Drosophila melanogaster: one gene and its partners. The protein of the gene in region 3 interacts with the protein of the main gene of each other region in a pairwise test. Each region holds a gene or a part of one and is shown on either strand. Other genes may lie near its edges.

Region 1 (10,293 bases), on a different chromosome or scaffold from region 3:
TGTTTATTGTTGCTCCTACGTCAATTTCGTTTATTTTGCAAATTTACAACACAAAACGGCAGGCATCAGATGGCACGGGCATATGTGTACTTTGAACTCTCGGACGGAAGGGAAAATCCTTTGATACAACAAAAGCAGAAAATTAATTACGTTCTGGATTTCTGTTGGGCGCCCATTTTCGACAATGGCTAATCTTCAATGCATCATTCAGACTGTCCGTAATACGTGACTAAGAGTGCTAAAACAACAAGTACCTTTAAAGGAAATATGCCAACACCTAATTTAAATGTATAATTTACGCAAATGGAAAATAATTGCCTGTAGTTTGCTACGCTTTCCATTCAAGGTTCATTCGCCGCAGTTACTCGTTTTGGGCAAGGCGGATCCATTCGATATGCTCCATGGTCGCCGGTTCATTAAGTCTGATCAAAGTAATGAAATTGGAAATGCTTCCCAGATATGTAGGGGCGGGTGCATAAATTCCAGATTCCAGATTCCTAAGCGCTTGAACAATGCACTAGGGAATCCAAATATGATACCGATAATAATGGATCCAGGGTCAACTGGTAATCGAATAAAATGAATTCGCCGTAATTGACTGGGTCTATAAATGCCTCACCGCCAAGTCAATGAACAATCGTGTTTATGGAACATACATAAAGCACTCAAAAGAACTTTTTCATCACTGAGCAGTGGGACTCAGGTGACAGACTGGCACATCAAAGTCCATGAACCTCATGATACATTTCTCTTTCAACCCCTCATAAAATGCCCTGCTTCCTCGCAGACTAATATAAATTGGCCAGGTTTATAAATCGAGCGGGAACGAGATGAAGACGAAAAAACTTGCTCTTGAAATATTTATGAGACTTTGCAATAAACTAAAATTTCAAAGACACCACCTCTCCAAAATGGCCGCCATAAATTGGTAGAAAAGGTGGAAAGGGAGCGAGAAGACGGCGGCAGATAGAGCCGTATAAAATATATTATACTCCCCATAATAAAAGCGAAAAACTTGATTGTACCTGGAACTTGTGAGCCAAGCGAGTTCAGAGAAAATCGGGGCGTTCGAGGGGCGTGTCGGGCCAAAGTTGCTGCGATTTATGCGACGCCATGGAGGAAGGCAACAGAGCTGCAAAGCCGGGAAAGGTGCAGCAGCTGATAAATATTAATGGCGAGGCCACCGCCAGATGTCCATATAAACAAACCCAATCCGCGAGTTCAACATAAATAAATAAATAAAATTGTAAGTATTCAGACGCAGCGAGAAGCGTCGCACACGCATTAAAAGCATTCCAATCCAAATACGAATTTCAAATCGTTAGGAGCACTTCAAATCCGATTCGTATCTCCTACCAATGGAAAAGGGCTGAGGAAGCGAGAGAAGCTTCGCCATTTTGGACCATTGGCCATTCGCTTTAATCGCGGGCATATCCGGCCAACGTTGCTGCAATTTCCGCCCAGGAGTTGGAGGAACACGAACTGGGTGTTGAACCACCCGAAACCCACCTAATGGACAAACCCTAATGACCCGACATTACATTTCATAACGCAATTTAAGCCACCAAAAAAGTATGTGTACTGTACATAAATATAAATTTCTACAGAAATGGTTTCATAAAAACCATGATTACGCATTTACGCACATACCCACACACAAGGCAAATGAGAAAAAGGCTGATGGCACTCGGGATTTCCTTTTATATACTTATATATTCATACACCATATATCCAAAATTTTCAAGTGAAATACCTCAAGTATTTTCAGAATATATATTTCGAAAATATTTTTTTGGAAAATTTGAAAAGCTATCTGTATTTTAACGTCTTCCCATAAAAGGGGCTGTTTATGACGGAACTCATTAAATATTATACTTCTGTATCCTTCGGTTTGGTTTCTTTGCTCGAATGTCTCAAGCCACATCGCTTCAGTCGTAAAGATTTAATTGTATGGAAATCGTAAATGGCACGAACAGAAAAGTTTTGGTTTATTTTATGAGAAAATCGATGGAACCCATTAAAAGCTGTCGCAACTGGCAAACTACAGGTCCTAACCGAAGGAAGTTCACTTGGTTGACGTAAATAAAATTGCTATTTCACCGAACTGTCATCATCTGACAGACCCTTTCGTTGGGACTTCGGGTATTCGTAATGGAATAAGTGATAAGTGGAACTTCTAACCGAGAATGACACATCCAACGAGCAGTAATAAAGTGATTCATTGAGATTGTAATGGCAGGCAAGGGTCGTTTGTTAAATGGGTTGATCGATTAGATCCTTGGTGAAGATAGTTACCGAACCTCCCTGATCAAAGGAAACTTAATAGCGGAGCGGTTCAATGCTCTACAATACTAATTCAAGGCTATCAGTTAATCATAATCTGTTTATCATCTAATGAGCTGTATGGAAAATTGGCAATTTGTAGCATATTTACACAGCTGTTTGCTGAATGAAATGTTTACTTTAAAAGCAAGAAGCAGATTAAACATAAACAAAATTTAAGGAGAGACGAGCGAAGCGGGAGAAAGCCGGATGATAACATTATTAGTTGCTATTTGGTTCCGACTACGGTTGGCATTGGCTAACCCAAACCACTATGATAGTCTTATCTTAATTAGTTTCGCCGTATTACTACTTAGAAATCGCCATTTTATTTTCTGGTCCCGAACGAAAACCAGTTTTGATATTCTCTTAGGCAAGTTTTACTATTTCGTGCTCAAACTCAATGTTTGGGTTGGGAAAACTTGACTAGTTACAGAACGGAAGGTATAATAATTACTACTCCCAATCATGTTGCGAGCATAAATTCAGTATTGAAAATCTTTTGGTGGGGGACCAAGAGACCAAAAGACGTGGAGCCAACCGAAACGAAACCAGGAAACCGCAAACTAATGAACGGACTGAGCTGTCGGCTGGTCCCCGGATTTTGGACCCCAGCGATGCTGCTGCTGCTGCAGACGACGGTCGAGGTTTGCGTCGGGTTGCATTGGCGGTGGCCTGGGCAGGGCGTTGTGGTTACGTTGGTCCGACGAGCCGGTGGCCCTCGGTCTCTGGAGCTTACCAAAGCCGTCACAGCCGCTGTTTCTGTTGCTGCTGCTGATGCGGTTTGCGGTTCTTTTTGTGCCCGTTGCAATTGTTCCTGCTCCCGGAGGGCATGGCATCAGCAGACACGTATACACCATAATATGTACATATATATGGATTGGATGGAGTGTGCACGAACTACGAGAGTACGAGTGTTTTCCAAAATGGCGACTCCCCGCTGATGTAGATACACAAACCGGTAAGACTTCCCAGTCAGCAGGGGGCCCGAAAATCGTGACGCCAGTTGCAGGAATAGCAATATTATAACCGATATGGATGGTACCGGGACTTGGGCGTAGGCGTATCTGGGGGCATGCCAAGGCGGCAGCTGAACAAGCTGACGCAGCTCAGAAATCTGCTTACATCTGCTGTCTGTTGCCGTAGGATGGTAGGAAATCAGACAGACTCGCTTCTCAGGACTTATGCAGCTTATAAAACTTTGCCCTCTGCATTTCCCCTCCACTGACAGAAACGCTCTACTTTTAAAGTGGCGTCAGTTCGGTTTCCCTTTGCCACGGCCGCCCGACTGCACCATTTTTGTTGCTGTGCGTTATAATCCGCTTTTTGTGATCGGATTATGTCCTGTGTAGCACCTAATCCCCGCACAGGAGTGCGACCAGCGTACACATGTTGCCAACGAGCACCACTTCCACATCTACACCTACAACTACACCACTCCCATTCCCTTTTTCAGTTCCAATCCGATTCCATCCATCCGCACTGATCCCGCAGTCGCAGTCAACTTTAATTACGCACTGGACGTCGATGGATGGATTAGGGCGGCCTTACGCCCACCGACTGCCCGGAAAAGCAATTAAAATGTGTATATCCTGGATAAACAGGAGAACGTCCCTAAATGGAACCACCTTTCAAGTTATAAAGCTGTTAACATTTTAGAAAAAAACATGTTTTCATGGTTTGTTCCAATTAAACGTTATTAACAATAAGTTCGGAACTGAGAGAGTTTATAAAATGTACATCAACCAAGATGGTTTTTCTCCTAAAAATAACAAAAAGCTATTAATATAAGATTAAAAGTTTATAACAGGTACAAAGAACAGTAGACAGTAAAACAAATATACATATAATCTTTTTTAAAATTTTTTTTCCGAACTCGAAAATAAAACACTAGTAACGAGAATAGACTAGAGCGACCTCTCTTGTTCACTTCAAAAATATGTTGAATATCTATTTTGACATTGAGCGTACTAAATCAGAAAATCTTTAATGCACATATTGGCTTTGACACAATTACCTAGTTTAGAGTATAGAGTATTATTTCTAATCCTAAATTCGTTCAATCGGATCACAAAGGGGATGGTTGACTATAGATGCCATAAAATCCCAGCATTTTAAAATCCCGATGTCTGCATTAATGCCAGGTAGTTCGAGTAAAGTGAAAAGAGAGTCATTTTCCAAGATCTACCCGCCCTTATTTCAGGGTAATCAAGTTAATTAGAAACTTTACTTTTTTGTGCATTTAACGACTTTTATTTTTGGGGGCTGGGGTTTCCTAGCACCGGCGTCTGGCCATCGGCACTTTGCCTTCTCCTCGTTTTGCTTTGCTTGCATATTCTCATCAAATTAAAGTTAATTGTACATCATTAAAGGCGGATTCTAAGAATTCGTTTCGGGTCTCGTCGGTATCTAACACAAAATGGCGTCGTACGATTTTGGGTTTTCATTTATTCCGATGTCAAGCAATTTAATTACAACCTGTCGCATGCATGGGGTAACACACAAAGACATGACTTCATGAATATGTATGTACGACAAGCGTTCGTACATACGTATTTATGGGAGTATTAAATATGGCCTCATGGAGGGTAGGAAAATGCATTTAGGTGCAGTGTTTTTGAGATGACATATGGATGCCCGCCAGCGGCAACCTCCCCATCAGCTGTCACTTTTAATGCCGAAACCCGCCATTTTGACAGGAGCTACAAATGAATAGGTTTCTCTTTTCAGTTAAGCTTCAGTGATTTTGAGTGTTTTACCGAATCGGAAGTATAAAGGTAAAAAAGAAAGTCTCCACAAAAGCAGACCTTGTGTTTATGAATGTATAAAACCTTTCAAGCTAATTTTAATTAAAAACAAATTAATAATCATTTGAGTTTAATATGAGCAGAGGTATCATTGTTTACTATATATAGGAAAAAATTATCCGTGAATTTTAAGTCTTCTCTCTTTATTGAGAAATTCTTATTATGTTTTTCGCCCATAAAAGTTACTTAACGACATCATGTATTCCATGTATTCATGAGTAGGTACAGTTAGTTTTGTGAAGTCATGCATAAATTAGAATAATTTACTCGATGAAAAGGAAAAAAATGCCGTCAAGAGAAGAATTAGCATTCAAATCTAAAGGAAATCTAAAGGATCGCATAATTCTTACTGGATCATAAATAATTCTTTGATAATTCTTTTCATATTAATTATTTAACTATTCCGTGCTTGGCAGTTTCTTAAGTCAGATTGTTTTGTAGTTATGTACATGCATGTATGAAAATCTTTAACAGGATTAATAATCTAAAAGCTATTCCTTTGAAATCCCCATCATCATCCATTCTGAACTCCACACCTTGCCTCGGCGAAGTACTTTCCACTTGATAGTTTGCCCGCATCAGAAATGGGCATTAAGTGATCTGGAGGGGATTCAGGCGGGGGGGGGGGGGGGACTGGGCATGGAGTCTGGGGGTCTTAAGTGCCCCCAACGACCACAGCAAACACAACCGTTTGCATGATTGAGGGACGGATTGAATGAGTGCATGTCATTCCCAATCCCTGGTTGGGGTTCAAGAGAGAGTGGCCACTCCAAAAGGCCCACTCTAGGCGAACATTTATTTGCACGGTTGCAGGAGAAGTTTGAGTCTTTCATACAGTCAGGCTTCCGTAACTAGAAGTATCACATGCCGCATAGAAAGTTAGAGCTCGAATTTTTAATTACATACATGAAAACGTGTTTGTTTTATTTAGCACACATAATAAAATATCGTGACCAATTAGTGTCATCTAAAGCGGTTATCATTTGTGAAAAACATTAATTTTGTTTTATTGTAATCACAAGCCGTTGATTTTAATTCATAATGTTAGTGTTAAATGAAACTTTCAAATTGCCCAATTTACGTTGAAAATAAGGTAGTTATATTCTGTATGTCCCAAAATTATATTGGAAGTTCAGTTAAGGCAAGTTATCTGGCTGTACAGTAAGTAACTAATACAATGAAAATAAACAAAAAGGTGTAAAAGCAATTCAATAATTCTTTAGATTGAAGTAGTTAAAATATTATAGTATTTTTTTATTTTTCAGGACAATTATGTTCAAGCTTTCCACTAGGATGATCTACTTGGGTTCCACTGTAGCTTAAAGAGCAGCTCAAGCACGACGGAGAGCAAACAAAACACAGTAGAGAGCACACACACAACCACACACACTCTATTGCCGCTCATCTGGAGAGTGGCAGCTGCATGTTGCAGCTGATCTGCAATTGCAAGAGAGGGAGACCATCTTGACTTAGCCCTTCCACGTAAGTGAAAGCGAGGTAGCGACTGTCTAGAAACAGCTTGTTTTGCTCGCACTCATAGGGGAATCGAGAACCATCGGCACGAGACCCTAACTCACTACACAGTAAAAAAAAAAATTCTCAATCAGTAAGCTAATAATTAATGTTTAATTTGTACCTTTTTTAATTTAATTAAATTCTTGCATTAAGTTGGTATATTATTTTTCATTTTTTCATATAACAACTTAAAAATTTGTATATTAGAACTAATTTTAAAGTTGATTCAACGTTCGATAACATCACATTTCTTACATCTTAACTGGTATATCCAAGATTAAAACTGCATAGTCATATTAATTTTAAAATAATAGAAAACTATATATACACATATACTGTAAAATAGAGCAAAGTGCACGCCGTTTTTCTCACTGTAAGATCTCGGACTGGGCCGTGAAAGTGAAACACAACAACACTTGCCATTGCGCGCTGTTTGTTTGGTTGTGTGAATACGCTGCTTTGTTTGCCTTGGCCTGGGAAAAAGATAACAAACGCTTTTTGCACGAGACTCGATTCGAAACGCTTGATAAGGAGGACGCAGCACGAGCGCATCAAAATCCAACCAAAACAAAAGTTTACACTGAGCAGACTGCGCAGAGCAGGGGAATATGTGTATTGAGCCGGCTGTTTGTTATCAGCCGCAAGAGCACGTGTGATTAGGCGGCTTTAGCTAACCTCAACTTGGCGTTAGCTTATAGGTAACGAACGCGTGATACGGACTAGCAACATACCCTTTTCTCGGCACTGTCGCAGGGGTTGCTCAGACTCAGCGAAGAGGAGCTCAATGACGAGGTTGTGGGCGCACCGCTGGCCGTGTTTGGTGTGCTCATCTGGGGCAGGGCATCCGTGGGCACGGCATCCAGCTGCTCCTGCTTGATCCCGGCGATAAGCGGCAGGAAGTCGTTCTTTAGCTGCTCCAAATCCATATCCATGTTGGCGAAGTCCTGCGATTTAACCGCGTAGGCGGTTGCTGGCGATCGTTGAAATTAAAACGTGGGCGTGCTAATTATAGCAACTGATTTTTGGTTGACTGACCGACCGACCGAATGTTTCCCTAAAGGCTGTCGCCTTGAAACGGCATGACTATTGCGATTATGTTGCGGTATTATTGTTTTGGAATTAGTTGGGTAGTTAATCCATTCCAATGCTTACACGCACGCACACGCACAAACACACACAGGGCGCGCGCACCAATACACAGGAACTACACGAGAGCAGGCAAAAACAACGATTTGTGCTTGTATGGATGTTCACAAACGATTTTTCGCTGATTCTTAAAGTTTTGTTCGTAGTTGACTCCTCTTCAATTGGGTGGCTAATGCATTTTAATTTCACCTTCGACTTCTGGCTTGCAAAAATATTGGGTTCTCCCTCTCTCTTTCGCACAGAGCGACACAACTTTCGTTTTACTTATACACGACGTTCGCTCGAATTTCGCTGCTATTTTTCGGTCTGGCCGTCGATTTTTCCAGCGATTCGTGCCGCATTTCGTCCATACGCGGCTGCTATTCTTTATTCGCGCTGCGAGCGCGCTCTTAGTGCGGTTTTATTGGCGTAATTCGCTGCGAAAACACACGGTCTCACGGCGTTTGCTCTCGTTGGACGCTTCTTCTGTACAAAAAATGTTCAGCCATTTTGGATTCAATTAATTCATGTCGGCGTTGCCAGTACGACGGCATTTCGAGGGCTGTTACGCACGGCCGTGGAAACGTAAGCAGCTGAGGTCACACTAAACACGCGATCTGGCAATACCACAATTGAATTCGCCGTTCATTTCGTAAAAAATCATATTAATGTTGTAATACATGGTCAAGATGCCATTTATTTACAATTTAAAACTAATAACTTAGCCTGGTATTAAAAGGTTATAGTAAAATATAACATAATTTTTAAAATAAACTTGTAACGTCTTCGTTCTGTTAAGTCATAACGTTACGTAAAGCTTTGAACATTTTTCTCCACACAGCTAATTTAAAACTTAAGTAAATCAAAAGTAGCATTTCGGAAACTCAACTTAATTATTGAGCTAATTCAAAGAACGCGATTTTCGAAAAAAACATATTTGTATTAGCCAAACAGAGCTGTTAAATAAAACAGCTGATCCGTAACAGAGCAAGAAGAAGAAGCACAACCACACGTGTGTGAATTCCTCCACTTTAAATCCAGAATTGTTTACTTAATGTTTTTAAGACGACTTTTAAACGACTACACCAAGGCAGGTTAATTATTAGTGATCACACCTCCAATTCGAGAATTTATAATAATTAATTTTCTTACAATAGTTCGCCTGAAAACCCTTTGCAATCCCTGGAATCGCCACAAATCCTTCGCCGCAGCGATGTCAGAGGCTCTAGATAAACTGGAGGTGGAGAAGGAAGCCAGGAAAGAGGCCAAAGAACTGGAGGGCGAAGCCGTGAAGGACGCCAACCGCATCAAGAGAACACTTAAACGCAAGAAATGGGTCGATTGGAAGGAGCAGGACGAGAAGGATGCCGCCAACGGCGTGAAGCGAGCGCCGTTCGATCCCGCCGACCGGATCAAGCGCAAGAAGAGCGCCATCCTGCTTAGCTACTGCGGTGCGAACTACTATGGTATGCAGCGCAATCCCGGCATGCAGACCATCGAGGAGGAGCTCTTCAAAGCCATGCTAAAGCACAAGTGGATTACAGAGGACAGCTTTGAGCAGATTCAGATTTCCTGTTTCCAAAGAGCGGCCAGGACCGACAAGGGCGTCTCCGCCGCCCGCCAGGTGTGCTCCGTCAAGCTGCGTTAGTTTACTTATTCTATTTTACAAGACAATACTAAACCTATTCCTTCCTGCAGCTGAGGAGCTGGACCTGGAGGCCTTCAATGCCGATCTGCCGCAACAGATCCGTCTGTTTGGCGTAGAACGCGTGACTAAGGGCTTCAATGCCAAGGATCAATGCAATGCTCGGACCTACACCTACACACTGCCCACCGTGGCCTTTGCTCCGTTTGAGGAAAAGGTCGACGACGTGCACGACACCTTCCGGATTTCACCAGAGCTGCTGCAGAAGGTTAAAGAAACCCTGAAGCTCTACGAGGGCACGAAGAACTTCCACAACTTCACCAGCAAGAAGTAAATAAGCCAGGTTTATACTTCATTTCTGCTCCAACTAATATTTTGTTTACTACCCTTGTAGAAGCTTTCTGGATCCTTCGTCCAAGCGCTTCATCATGTCCTTTACGAGCAGCGAGCCATTCCGGAGTCCCCAGGACATCGAATTTGTCACACTTAAGGTTAAGGGTCAGAGCTTTATGCTGCACCAGATTCGCAAGATGGTGGGTCTAGCCATTGCCATTGTAAGGGGGAACACGACGGCGGCCACTTTAGAGCGGGCACTGACGGAGGAGCGTCTGGACCTGCCGATGGCCCCTGGACTGGGCCTCGTGCTGGACACAGTGCACTACGAGCGCTACAACGATCGCTACGGCAAGGACGGCATCCACAATCCGCTGACATGGCAGGCGCAGGAGGCGCAAGTCCAGGAGTTTATCGAGAGGGAGATCTTTAGCCAGATCTATAAGACGGAAGCCGAGCAGCGTAACATGCTCGACTGGATAGGAACATTGCATTATCACTCGTACGACACGCGGACGGAGGACGCGCCTCCACCTTCCTCCGAAG
Region 2 (10,144 bases), on a different chromosome or scaffold from region 3:
GATGAAACGACTGGGTGATGGAAAATACAATCCCCATGACTTCTCAAGGGCTCACTCCAAATTTTCCCTAAAACGTAGTCGCTACGTCAGAGAGAAACTGATCGCTGATGCACCCAGCGAAGATGAGGTGTCCAGGCTGCAGGAGCAGCTCATACGCACCAAAGTGCTCGTCCAGCAGGAACCCGAGGTACTGGACCACTGGCTGCAGCTGCACCGTCTGCTCAATCTCAACTTGGACAAGGCCAATCGGCTGGCGGTGGCGGAACAACAGATACACAGCCTGGAAACGGCCATGGAGCACCATCCGTCCAATCAACAGATTCTGCGGCTCTACACGCACGTGGCCAATGCCACCTATCAGGCCAACGAGGTAAGCGATGGGTTAATTTCCGCAGGAAATTCCAAATAATTTCAGTATTTATTTAATTAATTTCGATCATATTCACTGCACTGCAATGGTGACAAAACACCAAACATGATATTTGGGAAAAAACAATAGCCATATGTATGTATGGATCATAGTAACCCGGTAATATTTTGTAAATGGGATCAAATAGATTTGAAACATACTGTCAGGGCCAGAGAGTCATTACAATTCACACTTTAAAGGCGACTAGCTGATATATTTTTTTTAAATTTGTGAGAATTATACGAACTAAAATTTTTCTACCGGTTCTCACACAAAACACTTTAATTTTTGCTTATCGCGTGAAATTTTTTCAAGTACTTTTATAAAACGAATTGTATGTAGAAAAGAACATTTAACATTTAATCGACATATTTTATCAATATACACGATATTCTTTTATTCAGGTTGCTAGGCGATTCGAGAAAATGCTGAAGAGAAACCCATTCCAGTACACACTGTGGAGCAACCTAATAATGATCACCCAAGGCGACATGGCTTGTTGCAACGTGTCCGCTGTGCTCCGGATTTACGAGTACAGCATGCGCCGCATGCATGTGGGACACAACGATGAAATAACCCGAAGATTCATCATTAAGGAGACTGATGTGATAATGCTAAAACTTTTTCACAATTGCTTACTATTCCTACGCCAATCGGGCCATACTAACTGGATGTTTGCTCTGATTCGTTTGTCTATGGAGTTGAATTTCCCCTACCTGACGTTCGAATGCCTACAAGCACATGCAGGAAGAGAAAAAGCATTGATTGGATTCGAGGAAGTGGTGCTGCGTTCGGGAATGCCGATGCCCGAGATCTGGACGCGTGTGGAGCAGCTCAGACAGGCATACTGCTTCCTGCCGTTGAAAGACAAGCTGGCTTCGTCGACTAATGTCTTCAAAAACAAGATGAACGCCGAACGATACTTTTGCAGCGACAAACTTGTCCCATATGTACACGCACTCAAGTCGCAGAATAATCGTCTGCACCTGGTGCTCGTGGTTGTTCAACTAATGAAATTGCCCCTGATTCGCAGCGCTAGTTTGGCGGACAAATTGAATCCTTGCATCGAGGACTTCGGCGAGTCTGAGGCCATTGAAATGCTTTTCGCTGCCATAGTAGATAGGCACTCCTATGCAGTGGCTTCGTTGCAATATCAATTTGATGCAGCCATGATCGACTTAGCCAGAGAGATGTCCGTGACGCCCAGCTACATGCCGCATCTTGTTGGCCATAAACTGTATGCGGATACCGTGAGTAATATGCTACTCAAATGCGTCGAAGTCTTTATCGGCGAGGAGTCCAAGCGACGATTGTTGCTTATTCTGTATTTGCGATTCCAAAAACTATTAATAGTGCTGCACAAGTCCATGGGCAAGCTAACGAAAAAATTCTTTAAGGATAAACGAACACGGATGCGCAAACTGATCAATTTGACGGAGAACCGAAATGTTATTAGTTTCTACACGGAACAGGCCTTGTGCGAAATTGAGGCTAAGCATTACCGACTGGGCTTTTCCATAATTTCGAGGATCATCACAAAAAAATCGGAAGAATCCAGCTGCATTAGTTGCGTGGACACAATGCATCTCTATTTAGTTTGTGCAGAATTGCATATACATAGGGGCCGCATATCTAAGGCCATCGGCATACTCGTTTCACTGTGTTTGGAAAAACATGCCGGAGTAAAGCAGACAACTGTCTACTCCAAGGAACAGGTTTTGAAAGGCCTGAGAAATGCAGAGAAAATGGTGCGAGCGGAACTGAAATCCCTCGATACCCAGCCAGCTGAGATGTCTTTGGAGGAGTACTTCCAGCCCAACAAATTGCTCATCCTCTTGCGCGCTATCTGTTTGATCGAAGTGCTGAATAATCGTCGTCATAAGGAGGCTAGAATGTGGCTCAATGACCTGCAGAATAACGAATTTGGTCCCGAGGCCGTCAAGGACAGCGAAAGAAAGCGTTTCCTTAGGGAGCAGATCATGGAAATACAGATGCTACATCTGCGTTTGTCCTTTTTAGTATTTGGCGAAGTTGAATTCTATACTGGATTCAAAAAGATCAAGCTACATGAACTGCTCGAGAATGGACTCGAAGAGTTTCCACGAAATATGGTGTTTCTACAGCTGTGGGCCAGCTTAAAATCGATTATGTGGCACAAGCAGCGTAGCCGGCTCATACGCACCAAAGCCGGCATCGCTTCACTGGCGCACTTGGTCGTTGCGATTCACAATCGCTTTGGAATCGTAGATACCAACGATAAGTTTTCAAAGGAAGCCACAAGGAAGATGGTGTGCAATCGTTTGGTCAGCATTGTCGAGACTTTTCTCCCGACCAATTTAGATCGTTTGGATGTGGAGGAAGAGCATTATCGCATACTGCGCAGGAACTCCATCTATTGGCGCTTGTACATGATTGCCCTATCCAAAACGAATGCCTCGTTTAGGCGCAGCAAAGAAGTCCTTATAATGGCCATGGACGAGTGTCCCTGGGACAAGTCACTACTGATGGAAGGCGCCAAGGTTTTGCCAGTGAAACTAGCATCGCTACAGGACCTGATGACCGAAAAAGAGATTCGCATTTTCGCTATGCCCGAGGAAGTGGACGTCTTGAGGGGCTTTTAAGTCGCTTTGGTTTTATTCGTTTGTTTTGAGGTTATTTGCCATTCGGGCGACTCGATAAGTTCGCATCATAAATATATTTATTTCTTCAAACAATCTAGTTCTGAAGTTTGCTTCAACTTTAAGTTAACTGGCGAAATTGCGATAAGCTGTTTGCAGTTATATGCGTACATGCATATTTTACTACATATATCCTAAATCGCTTATCAGAATTGGCTCACTAACAAATTCAGAATTAGCGATTTTGCTACTCAAAAATACTCGCCGTTCGATTATGTTAAAAAAAAATTCCAACACTTTATCGCTCGTTGCTGTGCAAGGAAACCAGAGTCGCATATCGAATGTCGGAGATTAGTCCAACTTCATCTTCTGGCCAATCCGCTCCCCCCGAATCCAGCATTTTCTTGTGTTTATTATTTTGATTGTGTTTATCGCAAGATAACCGAACAAAACTCATAAGCCAAAACAGCGCCGAAAGAATCACTGCGCACCTGAGGTCGCAATTGTAGCACCTGGAAGCTGTGAGACGAACTAAATACAACATATTTGTTATGTCATTTTCATATCGCTGAAATGAAACATATATTGCAAATAGCTTATTTTTATATTACTGAAATTTAAAATATATTGCAAATAGTTTATGGTTCTGTTTATTTAAATTTATTAAATCATTTAAATATGCAAAAGAAATTAAGAAGTTTTCTACATTTGTAAATTACAAATAAAAATATTTATATTCCTATTTAGCTATGAGTAGTTTTAACAGCTAACTTGTTAAATATTGATAAATTTAGATTTAATATGTACACATTAAAGGATTTGTATTAAATGACATGAATGATATTGACGATAAAATGATTGATATTTTGTATGCGATCTGTTTGTGTGACCGCAAGTGTGGTGGCCAAGTTGCGTGAGCGCGAGCGAGACGGCTGTGGCTGAGTGTTGACTCGTCTCGAATGTTGCGTATGCGCCCTGTCTGCCCAGCCACTTAAGACTCCTGTGCGTTACTGTTGCTCTTTGGAAAAGCGTGGAAATCGGGAGAGGAAACGCTGTGATTGGGCAGAGGGGTAGTGGGGATGAAAAGCTCCGCTCGCCGAAACGCATCGAAAGCTGTCTGAGCGCGAGAGTCCTGGCTGCTGTCCATTCGCACGTCCGTCTGTTCGCCTGCTCGTCCACCCATCCGACATCTTTGGACCGGGCTTCATCGATGGCAGTCGGTCGGCATCTGTCCAAGTCCCACGACGCGTTGTCGCTCCGCATCGGCCGTTGCTGCAGTGGAAGCGGCCCGTTTGGCCAAGTGGCGTCTCCGTAGTCCCTAGTCTCATGGCGGCGGAGTCTCCTCTCAAGGTTTCCCAGGCACTCCAGACCGTTTCCAGTTCCTAGGTTAGTGCTAGAGCTCGGAATATCTGGCCAGTATCAGGCCAATCCATATATAATAATATATACATACATATATATATATATATGTATATATCGCTATAACGGCCGAGTGTTTTTTGTTCCATTTCGTTTCGATAGCGAGTGTAATTTTTTTGAGAGTGCTCCCCCGTTCTAAGTCGTGTGTGTGTGTGTGTTTCTCTTCCTGTTTGGGTGTGTGTGCTGCGATGTCTCTGTGTTGGTGTAGAGCAGAAGCAAGAAGAAGCAGCATTGTGTAAGACGCCAGCGTCAAGTTCGTAGACTAAACACCAACCTTCTTTTGCGGCTCTACTCTAGCAAAGGGGAAAAGCTTTTCAGAGAGGAAACTCAGAAAATGAGAAAACGATAGAGACAGAGAGCGCAGAGAGTCAATGTGCACTGCTAGAAAATGTGGGGAAAACCAGTTTGCGAGCATGCGATTCGTGACAGTTTGCATATTTTTTAAGCATCTTTATCTCAGATTTCCAAATCTATAACTCAAATATTACTAAATTTATTACAGATAAGTGTAATCAAAATAATTGATAGCTTATTATTATTATTATATAATGCTTCCTTGGAGATTGTTATAAACAGAGGAGATTCAAGTGATTTTTTGTGCAAAACTCTAGTTTTAGCAACGTTTTCTTTTTTCCCGGTGTACTGGGTGAGCATGAACTCGCCGAGGGTTTCCCGGCCGGAAACCTTAGTCAAGGTCTCGCCAGCTTTCCAACGCAGGTTGTTGCTGCGCTCTCGCTCACACTCGCTGCTGGTGGGCGTTTGGCCAATCGCCATCTCTGTCGCACCGCTGTCGGTGACGAGCGAAGCTTTTATTGTATATTTCATCTTTCACGCTCTTTTCCCTGCCATTTCTGCTTCTTTGGGGCAGCGGCACCTAGAGCGGGAGCGGGAGCGGAGTGGAGCGTGAGTGGAGCGTTAGCTTTCCGGGCAGCTGATTCGCGCTCGGCTCGGCTCTCCGCTGCCGTTGCCGCTGCCGCCGTCGCTGCTCCGCTCGTCGTCTGGCTGATTAGTTTAGTTTGTGATTTCAATATATGTAATTAATTTTTGTTTCTGTAGCGGTACGGACGGACGCGTCGCGACGTTCGCTTGGTCCGCTTGGTGTTCGTTCGGTTCGCTTGGAGCTTGGAGTTCGAATTCGGTTCGCCAGCCGTCGCTGTTTCGTATTTATTATTATTTTTTATTTTTTTTTTATGAGTATATTCGTATTTCGCATTTGTATCTGAATGTTTCTTTGGCTCTGCGTACGTGTGTGAGCGATTGTGCGAGTTTCCTTCTCTTTCAACTTGCCTTTTTCGTGGTCGCCGCCGCTGCTAAAATGCAAAGAACACGCTCGAGCAACGTAAATGGCGCCGCGTTAACGAATGGAATTGGATTATCAAACAGTGCCCCCCAGAGCCCCATATAAAAGTTGAAAAAAAAAATAAAATAAAAAACAAAACGAGGAATTAAAACCGAAATAAAACAGGCAACAAACAAACTTCGTTTTGACAACCCCCCCGCCTTTTTTTTTGTTTGCGTGTGTGTGTTTTGTGCCAGTGCTTGTGCTATAGTGTAAAAAAAAAAGTTTGAAACAACAAACCAAAAACGCGCTCGAGGGGAAATATTATCAAAAAGGTAGATGGCGGTGACCTTAAATCATATAGTAATTATAGGGCTATCTTCCAGTTGGACAGTTTCAACAACCAAACGTTGGTGTATGAAAAACTCCAATTATCCTATTATACGACTAGTATGTATATTCATAAGCCCAATGGGGCTTAAATACCGCTGTTGGTGTGTTGTTGAACAAGCTTGAACAAGTATTTTTTTGTGCTCTACGTTGGTGCATTGGAGTGTAGATATAGTTTCAACAACCGACCAACCACCAAGCGCAAAATTAATATTGTTGAAACGTTCGAGCTTAGCAGCTGTTGGTGAACCGTTGTTGGTGTATTGTTGAGTGCGCGGCATTAGATGCTGTTGATCAGAGTACTTTTGGTACTCTTGTGATCCTGTTTCATTTCCGTTTTTGTTCACTGATTTCGATGTTTTCTTGTGCAGAGAATTGGTTTTATATGGTGTAGCCTACGAGTACGAGCATATGTGCTGAAATCAGCGGCGCGTGCGCGCATTTTTGCGCGATCGAAACCCGAGAACGATTCAGTTTTTTGTTGAGTTGGGAAAAGTTTCGATTTACGAAAAACATTCCCACTGTCTGTGTTTGTCATCCTTCGAAAATCTGCTTAGCCAACATTAACGTGTTTGCCCATCCACAAACACATACAAATGCATACAAAAAAAAAACTATCACATTCGCATCGACACAATCAATGAGGCAAGACAAATAAAATTAACATATTAATGAATTTCCAGTTTCTTTTTTCGACTTATTTAATTTTTTAATAAGAAAAGAAAAAACAGAAAAACAAAACAAGCGTGAAGAACTCGAGTCTCTCGACTTCGGCATACCCAAAAAGCACGAAAGCGGGAAGTGTGATTATGGCCAAAATTCCAGATCTGCGCTTTAATGGGTGTGCGAAGATCAACGGATTCCAATGAATATAGATGTTATATGGCGGAGCACTTTATGATGGGTTCTTAGCCTCCCTTGAACTTGTGGGCAGCATGGAAAGAGTGCGATGGAACTGAGCTTTGGATGATAATAGCAATAAAAGTAAATATAAATAGCCCAGCATCAGGTATTTGTTGGCAACAATTTTTCAATGATTTACCAGTTCCGAGTTCCGATCAATAAAAGTGTTTTTTTTCTGTTTTTTTTTTTTTTGCTATTCGGTTTGGTTTTTTCTTTCCAATTTTTGTTTTTTGTTCGGCTGCTTTGCTGCTGCTCTCAAGGTTTTCTGTGTGCTGTTGCCGATGGTGATGATGGTTATGATGATGATGATGATGATGTTGATGATTTTTGTGTGGATGTTTTTCATTTTTATTATTTTCTCTGTTACTTTTTGGCTTTTGTTTTGTTTTATGTTTGATAATTAATTTCTACGTCGCATGCTGATGTTGGCAATTCAAGTGAATTGAAAGAGGGGGGAAACTGTTAAAAATATATAAGTGTACAAATCTCAAGGCAGTTTATAAATATTTTAAAAAATCCATAGGTACATTGGGTAGCTTTTAAATTATAGCCAAAGCATAAGTTCTCTAAAAAAAAAACCATATAATTTGGATGTCTGTTTCATTTTTAAGGACAATAAAATATGCAGTCAATTTCCCTAGCATTTTTCTTTCTTTTATATTTTTTTACGAGTTCGTATATGTAAACATATTTATTTATTTTTTTTCTAACTTGTTGTTCTTGTCGCCCTCATCAAATTTTTTGCTGACGTCGCGTCTAAGAGCGATCGCTTTGGCTGAGCGGCGAGCGTTCAGCGTTCAGCGTTGAGCGGGCCAAGCGGTATAGAGAGTCAAAAGCTCGTCGCTTAAATGTGAGCAGGGGGGCCTGGTGGGGAGAGGGGCCAGGCGGTATTTTTTGTGGAGGGGCCAAGACGCTCTAAAGCTGCGGGAAAAGGAAAGCCGAACCTGTACTGAAAGCGGACCTAAGCAGCGGCAATTGATAACCTAACCTAGACAATAAAAACGACCGCCAACCGATGGCGACCCCAAGAAATGACGTCCACTACTTGAATAACTTGGCATTTTAAGTTAAATATTTAATTTTCAATTAAATGTGTCAGATTCTCTGGGCAGTCAAGCATAATTTAAGACAGGGAAAGTTAGCCGAGAGAAATGGAATGCCAAAATGAGCGAGCTAATGGTACTACTTTTTTTTCGCCACAATTTGTATTCTAAAGTACAATCGGAAAAACTACATAGAATGGGAAAATATTTCAAAAATGCTCGCGTATATTTCGAATTTCTTTTGAATAAAACACAATGTAAGCTATCATAAATTAAGGGCAATCAAATCGAGCCGCAAAGAATGTGGACTGCCAAAACACAAGTTTATCGATAAATCGAATCTTAATTGGAGGCGAATTTAGCATGCCTGATTGGATCGCATATAGCCGAGATAGCTTGACGCCATCTTAGGCAGCTATGCTAATTAAATCGATTTGACTTAGATTAGCCACGCTTGCCGCGGTTCACATGGCGTATGTGCAATAAACGCGGCTCACCATAACGCATACGCCGTGTGGCCAGGAAAATGGTATCCCTTTTGGAACGCATAACTCTCTATCCAGCTATTTCATGCATCGTACAGCGGCCTATTTCCGCTCCCCAATAGTTTACCTTCCTCAAAGTGTCTGTAGGTCAAACTAGTTTTATTTCTGCACCAGATTAGCCTTACAAATATAATCAACTTGAAAGCTCTATATTCAATTGAGACAGCTAGCTACTGTAATTTTATTTTCCCCCCCGTTTCAACTCTTTTTATTGGCTTCGTGATTTTGTAACTGTATTAACTGATATGGTTTTCGATCATCTCTGTGCGCCAATAGCTAGTTTAGTTTCTCCTATATTACCAATGTTATGGAATGTTATGCAAAGTGCACTCGCAAATCTTTGTAGAACGTGCTTGAACGGCCACGTTCTTCCCGCCCTCTCTGGCTCTTTCTTCCCGCCCAGCTTGTTCTCCGCAATAGCTCTTTCTTCTCCGCTCGCTCTCGTTCTTTAGCTGCTCACCTGCTCCCTTTCTCCCCCTCCCCCCACCCATCGAGTGCTCAGCTATTTTTGGTTTTTGCGACAACTTTTTGCCAGCCACCACCTGATGTCGACGTCAGCTTTGGGCCAGGTCGAAACAGCAGCGTCTCGCGGCTGTATAAAGCCGCTTTTGTAATTAGCCCTGCGAGGACTTTTTCTACATATTTTCAATTGAAATTTGGCATTAAATTGCTTGAAGGACGTTGAATCTAGATGCTAGCTAAAAAACTGTGTATCAATTCAATCAATATATATTTCTTAATACCAATTGATGAGTAAAAACGCTTTAAATAGTAAGTTACCACGTCCTGGCATTAACTTTCCACAAAAATATTTATGTCTGTGGTTCCTAGGCGAATTGGCAATGGCGTTCTATATTTTGTGCAACCGCATAGCTTAGAAGAGGTGTCAAGTTTAAGGAAATATATAAAACGACACCATTTGAAGAATATTTAAAAAGTTGATAAAAACGATAAGGCAGTGGTGGAAATGTCTCAAATTCAATGCAGCTCATTCATTAGCATACTTGGAATTTTGCGAACATCAAAGGGGCTGCCATGGCATATCGCCTATATGTCAACCACCCCAACCACAATCCCAACCCAACAGCACTCCAAAGAAAACCCGTTCGGCACTGGCAAAATGATCCACTCTAATGATCTATTAGCAGGCATTTTTGCCTTTTTTTTTTTTTTGCTCTATTTATAAATGATTTCCATACAATGGCGCGCAGCGAGGCGTATACGTAATATTGCGTATACGCCCCGCGGTTCAAACCCAATCTAACGCGCTTCATTCGATGTAACTTTAACTATTGCAAATGTAAACAAACCGAAAGTGTGGATGGGCGGAGACAGGGGCCGGGGGTTTGTGGTTCTGGAAGGGGGGAAGGGGGGGGGGGCTACGTCAAACGTCAAAGCAAATTATATAATTTATTTATTTTGTTACCGCTGAGCGAATACTCTCTTCACTCTATGTGTCGTTTGCTTTGTGTTCTCTCCCGTTTCGCCTCCGATTATCCCCTGCAAATCCCCTGTAGACCCCAAAGTTCGTTGTCGTT
Region 3 (10,171 bases):
CTCTAACCAAGATCAAAAAGAAGACCACTGATTCTTCCAGCTTAAACAAAGCCAAGGGTGATGAGAACCCCAAGCAGGAGAGCCAGGAGAGCACCTCCTCGGAGAGTGACCAGGACGACAATGACAATGACAATGACGAAGAGGAGGAGGATCAGGAGGAGGACGAGGAAGAGCCCGAAGAGGAGGACGACGATGAGGAGCAGGACAAGAAGAAGGAGAAGCGAGTGGGCAGGCGTCCGGGAAACACGCTCAAAAAACGCATTGCCCACAAGCTGAACACCATGACTCGCTCAAAGCATCGCAAGGAGCTCGAACTTCAGTTGGCCAATAGTAAGGTTCTCCGCAATGACAAGATCATCAGGAACTCCACCACCAAAATTAAGAGAAAGTATGTCCGTAAGGTGGTGGACAGCAAGAAGGAGATGATGGTCACGCGTTTGAGGAACAAACGTGGCATGAACTCTGATTTAGGAGCGCTGAATGGTAGAAACTCCAAGCTGAAGGGCAGCAAGGTGGGAAATAGTCCCGGTAAACCCAAGACATCCCCTCAGCAGCAACTGTACCTGGAGGAATATCGCTATAAGTTGGCTTTAAAAATCCCACACAGCCTGATCTCGATTAATAAGCTTAACAAAGTGGCTTCCTCGCTACCGGACTTGGAGCGCCGTGATCTCAGCCAGGAGCTGGCCTGTTTCAAGAGAAACAGACCGAAGACCAAAGCTGCCAGCAAGCAGGATTTCACGCCGAAGTCCATAATCGATGTTCTCCACTTGAGGGTAACCAATGGCAGTACGGCTGGCACTCAAAGGAAGATCTCAGTCTCTGCTCCAGCTTCCACCAATCTTCAGATCCACAGTGAAACCTCGCAAACTTCCGCTTCTACTTCACTGTACGAGCAATCCCAGCAGGATAACCCAACTGAAAACCAATCCCTAGACGATATGAGCAAGCGGCACTTTAGCATTTTCGACACCAAAGTGCTGCAGAGCAAAACCCGTACAGAAACCAAGTTGCAAAAGCACAGGGAGATCATCCGTGAAATTTTCGTCGGCCCGGAACGTCCGGCGTCGGCTCCGCCAGAATGCGTCCAGGAGGCAGATGGAGGAGATGCCATTAGTTACCAGAAGTACGAGGAGTTCCTGCAGCAAATGAACAGCATTGCCAGCGCGAATGATAGCAAATTGGCCAGGAGATCTCTCATGGAGGACAAGTCGGTCACGGCTCCGCAGTGTCCGCACAAGAGGAAGTATCGTTGTAGGAAAGGCAGCTCGGGATTTGACTATATACGAAAGAAGAAGAGACCAGCTCCGACTCAGACGCAGAACCACACGCAAAATCAGAGTCAGAGCCAAGTCTCCAGTCAGATAACACAACACATTTTGGAACACAATCAGAGTGCGGCGGATGAGCGCTTGGAGGATACGGATAGCACCATCGCTGGCAGTTCCCATTTGCCTCCAAAGGTGAAAACGGAAATGGATGTCTGTCGTGAGATCCAAAAGTGGGTGCTCAACAAAGGAGTTGGTCAGAGTACCATGCACAAGGCTGCTCGCCAGGGCCTAATCGATGTGGTGGTCTACTGCTTGGATCGTATGAATATGAATCCTGACCAAAAGGATAACGCCGGCTACACTCCACTCCACGAGGCGTGCACCCAGGGATGGCTGGAGATTGCCAGGATTCTACTTCAATACGGCGCGAATCATTCGGAGGCGGCTCAATCTGGAATTAGGCCATTGCACGGAGCCATCGAAAACGATCACGAGGAGGTGGTGCGACTGTTGCTCTCCTATGGAGCCGATCCGTTGCTGGCAACGTACTCAGGTTGGTGTTGGATGTTTAACTTTGCATTTCGAAGGGATTGTAACAATTGTACCCTTTTGTTTTTAGGTCAAACCCCGCTAATGTTAGCTTCAAGCAAGTTGATGCGAGGCATTCTGCGCGCTCATCTCAGCGATGCACAAAGTGCCGCCGCTGACATCAAGCCAATGCGATTCAATGGGCCTTGGGAGATATTTGGTGAGTGGAAGCAAATAGTTCTTTGCCATTGCATACAATTAAGGATAAAACTAAAATATGAATGAATTTGAACTAAACCATGCATTAATCTCTTCCAGATGCTAAGGAGTATGGTTATGATATATTCAGTAATGTACCGAATACAGCTTGTGATATGAGCAGAGCTCTACGTAAAGAAAGGAAGGAGGCCAAGCAGCAGAGGATGAGCAGCAACAGTGACAGGACCAGCAACTTGAATGGTCTGTTAGCGGAAAAAAAGGAGGAGCAGAAGCCCGAGGATTTGGACCAGGATCGGGTGACAACAACGATCAAGCAGAACGGGGAGACGAGTGCAACAAAGACTGGATCGGCGACTACGACGACGGCAACAACGATGGTTAAATTGGAACTGGGAACCGACGAGGATAGCAATAACAATAAGAACAACGAGGAGCTGAATGCTAATGTGGAAAATAATTTAGTAACAAGCGTTGTGAATGTCAAGAATGAAGTGAAGAAGGAAGTGGAAGCTGAAGCTGAAACAGAAGCGGAAACGGAAACGAATGCGAAAGCAAATACGAATAGTAGCACTAGGCTAGACGAGGATCAGACGGACATCGAGACAATGGATAGTGAATTGAATGGTGATATTTTTGAATTTGAAGAGGCCGATGTGCCCTTGCCACCACTGTACTTGCTCAAAGACGAGGGCAGTGATAAATGGGTACTACTCAATGATTTGTGCAATTTACTTAAAGTTAAATCGAAGGATACGTTGCTTAACAAGGTATGTGCCATTTAGATGCGATATTTAAATGAACTTATAACAAAATCTTGTTATTTTTTTTTTAGCTCTGTCCGAACAACAGCAATGCCTTGGCCAGCAGTCAGAAGCACCTGCTACGGGAGTTCAAGATAGATGATTTCCTGGAGAAAGCCACCTGCCTGCAGCTGTTGTGCGCCGGTGAAAAGCTGAACATGTTCAGTTCGTCGAAGGTTGTGCTCATCAAATACAACGACAGTGTACGGAACTTGTTGGGCGTTAAGACCATTTTAATGAAATTTTAACCGAGATATCTTTAGCGATTGGACGGGGCAAGATCCAGAAAGATATAAATTAGATAATGATGAATGGATGAGCATAGTACTAACTGAACATAGAGTGTAAAGTGCAAACAAATATGGAAAAACTATTAGTACGAATATAATAGTAGATTTATATACTATACATATGTATATTTTAGCTAGTAACTAGTTTTTACTCACACGTCTTTGTCTTTGGAAGATAAAGGATTTTATAAAGGAAATTAAATTTAGAGCTAATGCAAAGTGATACAAAGGTGCTATACACACTCAAAACGAAGAAAAAGGAAATGAATGGAAATTTTAGAGCGAGAATATTGAGAAAATCTGGAATCTTTAGGGATTGGCTGCAATTATGCAATAAAAGTAGAAGAAAACAATGCAAGGCAGTTAGAAACGAGGAAACGAACGGAAAATGTATGCCAGCCAATCAGCTAATAAATTGATATATACTTACAGATAAATCTAGGGATGAAGTGTAATCTATGGTTTTTAAAAAAACAAAACAATCTAGCTAAAGTATAAACTAAATAATAATTATTGTAATAATATTAAAGAAGCAACAAAGGCGTATTTATGTATTATGTATTTTTAAATGAAATTATTAACATAATATATAAAGTATATGTATACACAATATGATCCAACTACAATGTAAATCAATTTTCAGATAGGTTTGTAATTTTCTATGTAATGTACGTGTGTAAGTTTTGTGCAACTATAAAAGGAAACCACAAAAAACTGAAGAAATTTAACAAAAAAAAAAAAACTAATAATGAAAAACAAAATAAATGCAAAGTGAAATTTTGACAATTTAAAAGTGCGGTTTCACTTCAAAATTTTAACAATCTCCTGGCATTTGAAAACAAATATCGATCCAAGCTTTTATTAAACGATTCTTCAAAATTGGTTTAAAAGGTTATTTATATATAATAATAGATGACTGAACAGGTAAGGTCTTAGATAAGTACTTAAATATACTTAGAGGGCCCATTCTTTTGAAAAAGTATAATTATATCTTGTGAATATTTAAATTCGTCTTCTTCTTTTCCTTTTAAATTTGCAATTATTTGAACTAGATAATCTCATTGTATTTTTTATTGCTTATTAAAATTTATGTAATATTTCATTGACAAACCGCCACAGTTTTGAATTTACGATCTATCGATAACTTGGCGATAGGTTCCGGCAGATGTCGCTCTCAAAAGCTCGCCGCACGAGCGGTGCGCTAAACGCGGGTGTGCGTGCATGTGAGTGCTTTCAGCTGAAAGCTTTCCGGTTTTCATATGATTGCCGTCCTTGTTCTTCAAACGATTTTTAAAGGCCAAGAATGCTGCCTCTCTGTCCTTGGCCCCGCTCTTCGCTCCGGTGATCCAACACTATCCCGACCGCGCATGTGTGTGTGCGTGTATGCGCGAGGGCTTTCGGTCTTCTTCTACCTACGCCAACAAACTTTTACTGTGTGTTGTGTTCCCGTTCGAGTTCGACCTAATTTCGCTCGAGACCTAATTTTTGCGTGCGGAATAGTTTTTCCCGAAAAAGTGAAGCCAGCGAATAAACAATAGCTGAAAGTGAGCGATAGCCAAGAAAGTAAGAGTGAAAGTAAACAAAAGCGAAAAGAAGAACAGCTCTGGCGTTAATTATGTGTGTGTACATACGTATATATTTAATATTTCCGATGCGTCCATAACGGGAGTGTGTTCTGGTTTCCAATCGTCGCCCGCGCCCCCGTCATTGCCTATCCGTTTACCAAACCCCAATTTTGGTGTGCAATTGTGTATAAAAATTAACACAAAGTGGGAAGATAGCGTTGTGTCATAGAATTGGAGCAGAAGCAAAAACAAGGCAAAATTAGCAAAAGCCAAGCGGAAAAACAACAACACAGAGTGCCCAGTGGAACCCCAGTACATGTGTGTATATATGTATGTGCGGTGCGAGCGTGTCAGTGTGTGCGTAGCAGGAATTGCAATTTATAGTTGTTGTTTCTGAGAGCTTTCGCTTGTTGCGCGCGTGCGACGATTGTGCAAGAAGTTCTTGGTGTGCGTTCGAAATCGGGAAGAGGAAATCGCCGAGAATAGAGGAAGAGTAAATGGCAATAAATGCAAAATAAATAAAAGAAATAAATAAAAAAAAATATAAATAAATTGCCAAATGCGTTTGGCGTCGCGTGTGTGTGCGTGTTCTGAAATATGCTGAAAGAGCTTTCGGAGAGCGAGAGCAAAAGAGAACGAGACGCCGAGAGATGCGATCGGGAGAAATAGCAACAACAACAACAACGGCAACAGCGACTACGATCGGCGAAATGAATCACACACAAGCTTTGTTTTGCGAATTATAAATTCGCGTTCCGTTCTCCACACATGCGAATTCCCACACTGAGAGCGAGACAGAGACAGCGAGAGAGAGGGAGACCAGCTACGGCTACAAAAACAGAAACAGCAAGAAGACCAAGACATAATAATAGAACTTTTGCTTTCGCTTCCAACTGGTTTTTGTATACATAAAAAGCGAGAGGGGAAGAGACGGAGAAAGAGAGAGACGGACAGCTTCCAGCGCTTCTTCTTCTTCCGCGATCTTCGTCTTGGAATTCATGGAACCGGGCGCATGCGCAACACACAGAACTACAAAAGGAAAAACAACGACGTCAGCTGCATGAAAGGTAAATTCTCAATTCTCCCCGCTGCACGACTTCCTCTCGCTCACCTTTTACCCCCCAAAAACCTCCTTTTCCATTTTGTCTAGTTGGGTGAGCTTTATTTTACTGCACTTACCATCTTTAATGGGAAGTAGGAGCACGGAATGAAATACAGTTTTGACACGAATTTGATTTAAAAACCATCATTATAAGAAAACTTTTTAAATAAAATCACCTTTTTGTTTGTTTAAATAAATTTTACTGGGATCATTATATATATATTTTTTACAAAAATTAATGTGGTTTTAAAAATTTGGATAATAAACTGAAAATTGTATCAGCAGTTTATAGCTTTTTATAGTTTTTTTTTATACATTTTCTCGTATTTTCCACTAAGATATTTTTCTTTTAAAATATTAAATATAAAGTTAATGTCATTTGCTCAATTTTTTTCCGTGGATTACCCGAGGGTTGGTGAGATTCAAGCACGAAAAGTGAAGAACTTGAAGTCGAGTGAAGTTAATTAAAGTATCGTTAAAAAGGGTAACACAGGGCTTAAAAAAATGGGGGAATCTTTCCAGTTGTCTGTTTCGCGAACTGGAAAATTACTGTAAATGGGGGAATAAACAATTTAGCGTGTTAATTTTTAAATGGATTTTATCTACTCGGAAAAAATAATTTGGTTAAAGATGCTTTTAATGCATTAACTTTTTTTTTTTTTATTAATTTTTGTAATCTTGTAAAACAATTGCATTTTTAAAAAAACTTTATTTTTCAATTTTTAAATTAAAGATTCTCGACGTCTATTTTGAAATTTAATTTTTAAACATCGGTTTATTGGTGAAATTGCATTGATACTGATAAAAATAGTTTAGGCACTCCTAAGCTCTACGGAGGTATATATTGTGGACTTTCGACGATTTAGTTAAAAACCCTAAACAATAATTAAATAGTAGAATTATAAAAAAACTGAAATATAACATAATAAATTGGGTGGACATTGAAGTGGTACAGAAAAAGCTTTGAAAGCTTTCTCTCCCCACAAAGAGTTGACCTTGGCCTGCTTCAAATACCATTAGGCCTTTCCTTGGCCCACATTCTCTGCGACCTGACCTTCAACCTGACCTTGCATTAACCTAGGCCTTTGAAATCCTTGTCCTACTTCCTGAAAATTAATATTTATTACTAGAACGGATTGATTTTTGGTTTAGACGGCTTTAAAAACGCTTAGAATTTTTTTTTGATTACTAATAATCTGCTTTATTACCATTTTCAGGTCTTTAAAGCAATTATAAACTTACAACTACTATCGTTACCTGCCATTAAGAATCAACAAAACAAATACCACACATCACAACGAAACGTACAAAAAATAAAAGTTAAATTATATTATTCATAAAATGGATACCTTCAATGTACCTATGCTGGCGGAGAGCAGCAACACCAACTATGCAACAGAAGCTACCAGCAATCATCACCACCTGCAACATCAGCATCAGCAGCAACATTCACATCAGCAGCAGCAGCAGCAGCAACTCCTAATGCCCCATCATCACAAGGATCAAATGCTGGCGGCGGGCAGTTCGCCCATGCTGCCATTCTATTCACACTTGCAGTTGCAACAGAAGGATGCAACTGCAACAATAGGACCTGCAGCAGCAGCAGCAGCAGTTGAGGCGGCAACAACATCGGCAAATGCCGATAACTTCAGTTCATTGCAAACGATCGATGCCAGTCAACTGGATGGAGGCATCTCCTTGAGCGGCTTGTGCGATCGTTTCTTTGTGGCCAGTCCAAATCCCCACAGCAATAGCAACATGACACTAATGGGCACTGCCACAGCTGCAACAACTACCACTACCAACAACAACAATAATAACAACACTAACAATAACAATAACAACAACGTGGAGGCTAAGACAGTGAGGCCATCGAACGGCAATTCGGTGATCATCGAATCTGTGACGATGCCATCGTTTGCCAATATTCTATTTCCCACCCATCGCAGCGCCAACGAGTGCATTGATCCCGCCCTGTTGCAAAAGAATCCCCAAAATCCAAATGGCAACAACAGTAGCATAATTGTGCCGCCCGTCGAATATCATCAATTGAAACCACTTGAAGTCAATTCGTCGACTTCCGTTTCCACCAGCAACTTCCTGTCCTCCACAACGGCCCAATTGTTGGACTTTGAGGTGCAGGTGGGCAAGGATGATGGCCACATTAGCACCACTACGACCACAGGGCCGGGCTCTGGATCGGCATCGGGTTCAGGATCGGGATCGGGATCGGGATCAGGATCGATTGCACGCACAATAGGCACTGCAACGCCCACAACGACAACATCCATGAGCAACACTGCCAATCCGACGAGGAGCTCATTGCACAGTATTGAGGAGCTGGCCGCCAGTTCCTGTGCCCCGAGAGCAGCGTCTCCCAACAGCAACCACACTAGCAGTGCCAGCACCACTCCGCAGCAGCAGCAGCAGCAGCAGCATCACATGCAAAGCGGCAACCACAGTGGCTCCAATCTCAGCAGCGACGATGAGTCCATGTCCGAGGATGAGTTCGGTCTGGAAATCGACGATAACGGAGGTAAGTTCATCTTTTGTATCAAATGATTTATTTACCTCCCCAAAACCATCCTAATTCGAAAGGCAAATTGTTTGGCAAACATTCTGTTGTTGCTGCAAGTGAAGTGATAACGAAGCGGCAAGTGCGAAATAATACAAATACATAACGACTAATAAGAAAAATACAAACTAATGACACAATTAAACAAAAACCGCGTGTATTATCAAACAAATGCTCAAATAATCAATAAATCAAAAGCAAGCAATAATGAAAGTTATGAAAAAAAAAATTGATAAATTCATTAATAAATCAATATTTAATATGCAATATACAAAATAATGAAACTTTATAAATAATATGTAATAATAATGATAAAACGAAACAACAGCATTACAAAGATTATGTACTATGAATAATAAATTTTACATTTCATTACCAAATATTTTTTTTTGGTTGCTCAGCAATTTTAGAGCACTTGCTACTACCAATCCGGCCAATTAAAATGCGATTATATTCACACGCATTTCAACTGACATTTATTACATTTTACACATTCAATTTAAATTGAATCAGACCTTGATGTTTTCACTAACCTGTCATTACTGGCGGTTGGTTTTCCACTGGCTCGGCCAGACGGAGACGGTCGTCTTAAATCTTAGTGTGCCAAGTGCAATGCAAAGTTTAAATATGCACGGGCGGTACAACCCACCTCTCCCCCCCCCCCCCTCCTTGAATTCCCTCCACCAGTCCACAGTTGGCCTCGCACTTAGCTCCATGTTTGTTGTGCGGCATGGCGTCGGATGCAGCCATAAAAATCCATTTGAAATGTCTATAAAAATGCAACTAACCTACTTTCGGGCGATGTTTTTGGAAAAGCCGAAATCGAAATGCTCTTCATTAAAACTGCTTTGCTTAATTGCAATGTCTAATTAAAAGCGAATTGAAGTTTGAATATGAATAATTATTTGTTTATAACCATTGTAGTTGATAACATATGGTTGGTTACCTTCTAATGCAGCTGAAAAAGTTTCAGCAGTTAGATTTGAGCTATTTACTTTTAGTGTGAATGAATATAGTTCTATATATTAAATATACCAGATATCCCTTGTTCTTCCAAAGAGTATCTGTAAAATGCAAATGTAGAAAAATTCGTTCGATGCGTGAATAGCAATTAAATGGGCAAACTGTGACAGACCCCTGCCAAATGCCGTCGATGATGAATGATCAAATATTACAGACACACATACAATACATAATATGTATGTAAGATTGTTTGATTTTGTGTTTGTTTTACACGACACTTGGTGGCATGATATGGCTTTTCAATTTTCAAATTAACTTTATTGACATTCGGCAATGTCATCGTGCATCGAGTGCTTGCACCCCTTTCCTTACCACAGGCACACTCAATTCGCCCGCTTGGCCGTGGCGACCTTGCGGCGGGAAACCCCCCAAGTGCAGCTTAAATTCTCCAGCTCCATGCGTCTCATCCTTAGAAAGAGAGGCAAAATGGAGCAAGGTCGCCGGGGCATTAGAATTTGGGTCAAGCGCAAACGAATCGCTTTTGCGCTCGCTTGCGTTTTCTAATATTGGAGATTGGGCTCAAGGATGCGAGACAATAACAAAAAGCGAAATTGCATAGAAATTTGAAGGTCACCGTGTGCATCAGCCGCAGCGCAGCCGGCGTCGCAGTCGGCGCAGGCAGTCGCGTGCGCTCGCACCCTCTCTTTCGCTCTCCATTGCACACTTTCTACAGTGAGAGAAATCTGTGAAATATACGAATTATATGAACAACAGTAAAGATGCAAATTGAAATGATTTTTAATGTTTAAAATCATCTGGTTAAGTAGTTATGTTCAAGAAAACAATCTAGGATTATTT

The links.
Region 1: the proteins of ftz-f1 (region 3) and bon interact in a two-hybrid assay, tested with the Drosophila melanogaster proteins (one study listed by BioGRID).
Region 2: the proteins of ftz-f1 (region 3) and gce interact in a two-hybrid assay, tested with the Drosophila melanogaster proteins (one study listed by BioGRID).

Annotation. Positions count from the first base shown.
Region 1 is NT_033777.3:20,591,127-20,601,419, reverse strand, and holds the start of bon (bonus), read right to left. Parts: upstream 8,282-10,293; 5' UTR 7,577-8,281; coding exon 7,376-7,576; intron 1-7,375. Other genes in the region: Pus1 (pseudouridine synthase 1), read left to right, coding at 8,824-8,863, 8,927-9,412, 9,468-9,744, 9,809-10,293.
Region 2 is NC_004354.4:15,293,524-15,303,667, forward strand, and holds the start of gce (germ cell-expressed bHLH-PAS), read left to right. Parts: upstream 1-4,242; 5' UTR 4,243-4,413; intron 4,414-4,513; exon of another isoform or gene 4,514-4,694; intron 4,695-5,485; exon of another isoform or gene 5,486-6,060; intron 6,061-6,985; exon of another isoform or gene 6,986-7,099; intron 7,100-10,144. Other genes in the region: CG5877 (uncharacterized protein), read left to right, coding at 1-370, 814-3,030.
Region 3 is NT_037436.4:18,795,677-18,805,847, reverse strand, and holds the start of ftz-f1 (ftz transcription factor 1), read left to right. Parts: upstream 1-4,538; 5' UTR 4,539-5,740; intron 5,741-6,992; 5' UTR 6,993-7,116; coding exon 7,117-8,311; intron 8,312-10,171. Other genes in the region: CG14073 (uncharacterized protein), read left to right, coding at 1-1,824, 1,891-2,019, 2,118-2,785, 2,851-3,066. UniProt on the Drosophila melanogaster protein: Acts as a cofactor to fushi tarazu (ftz). Facilitates the binding of ftz to DNA. Binds the sequence element 5'-YCYYGGYCR-3' in the zebra element of ftz. Probably functions as a nuclear receptor for a yet unknown ligand.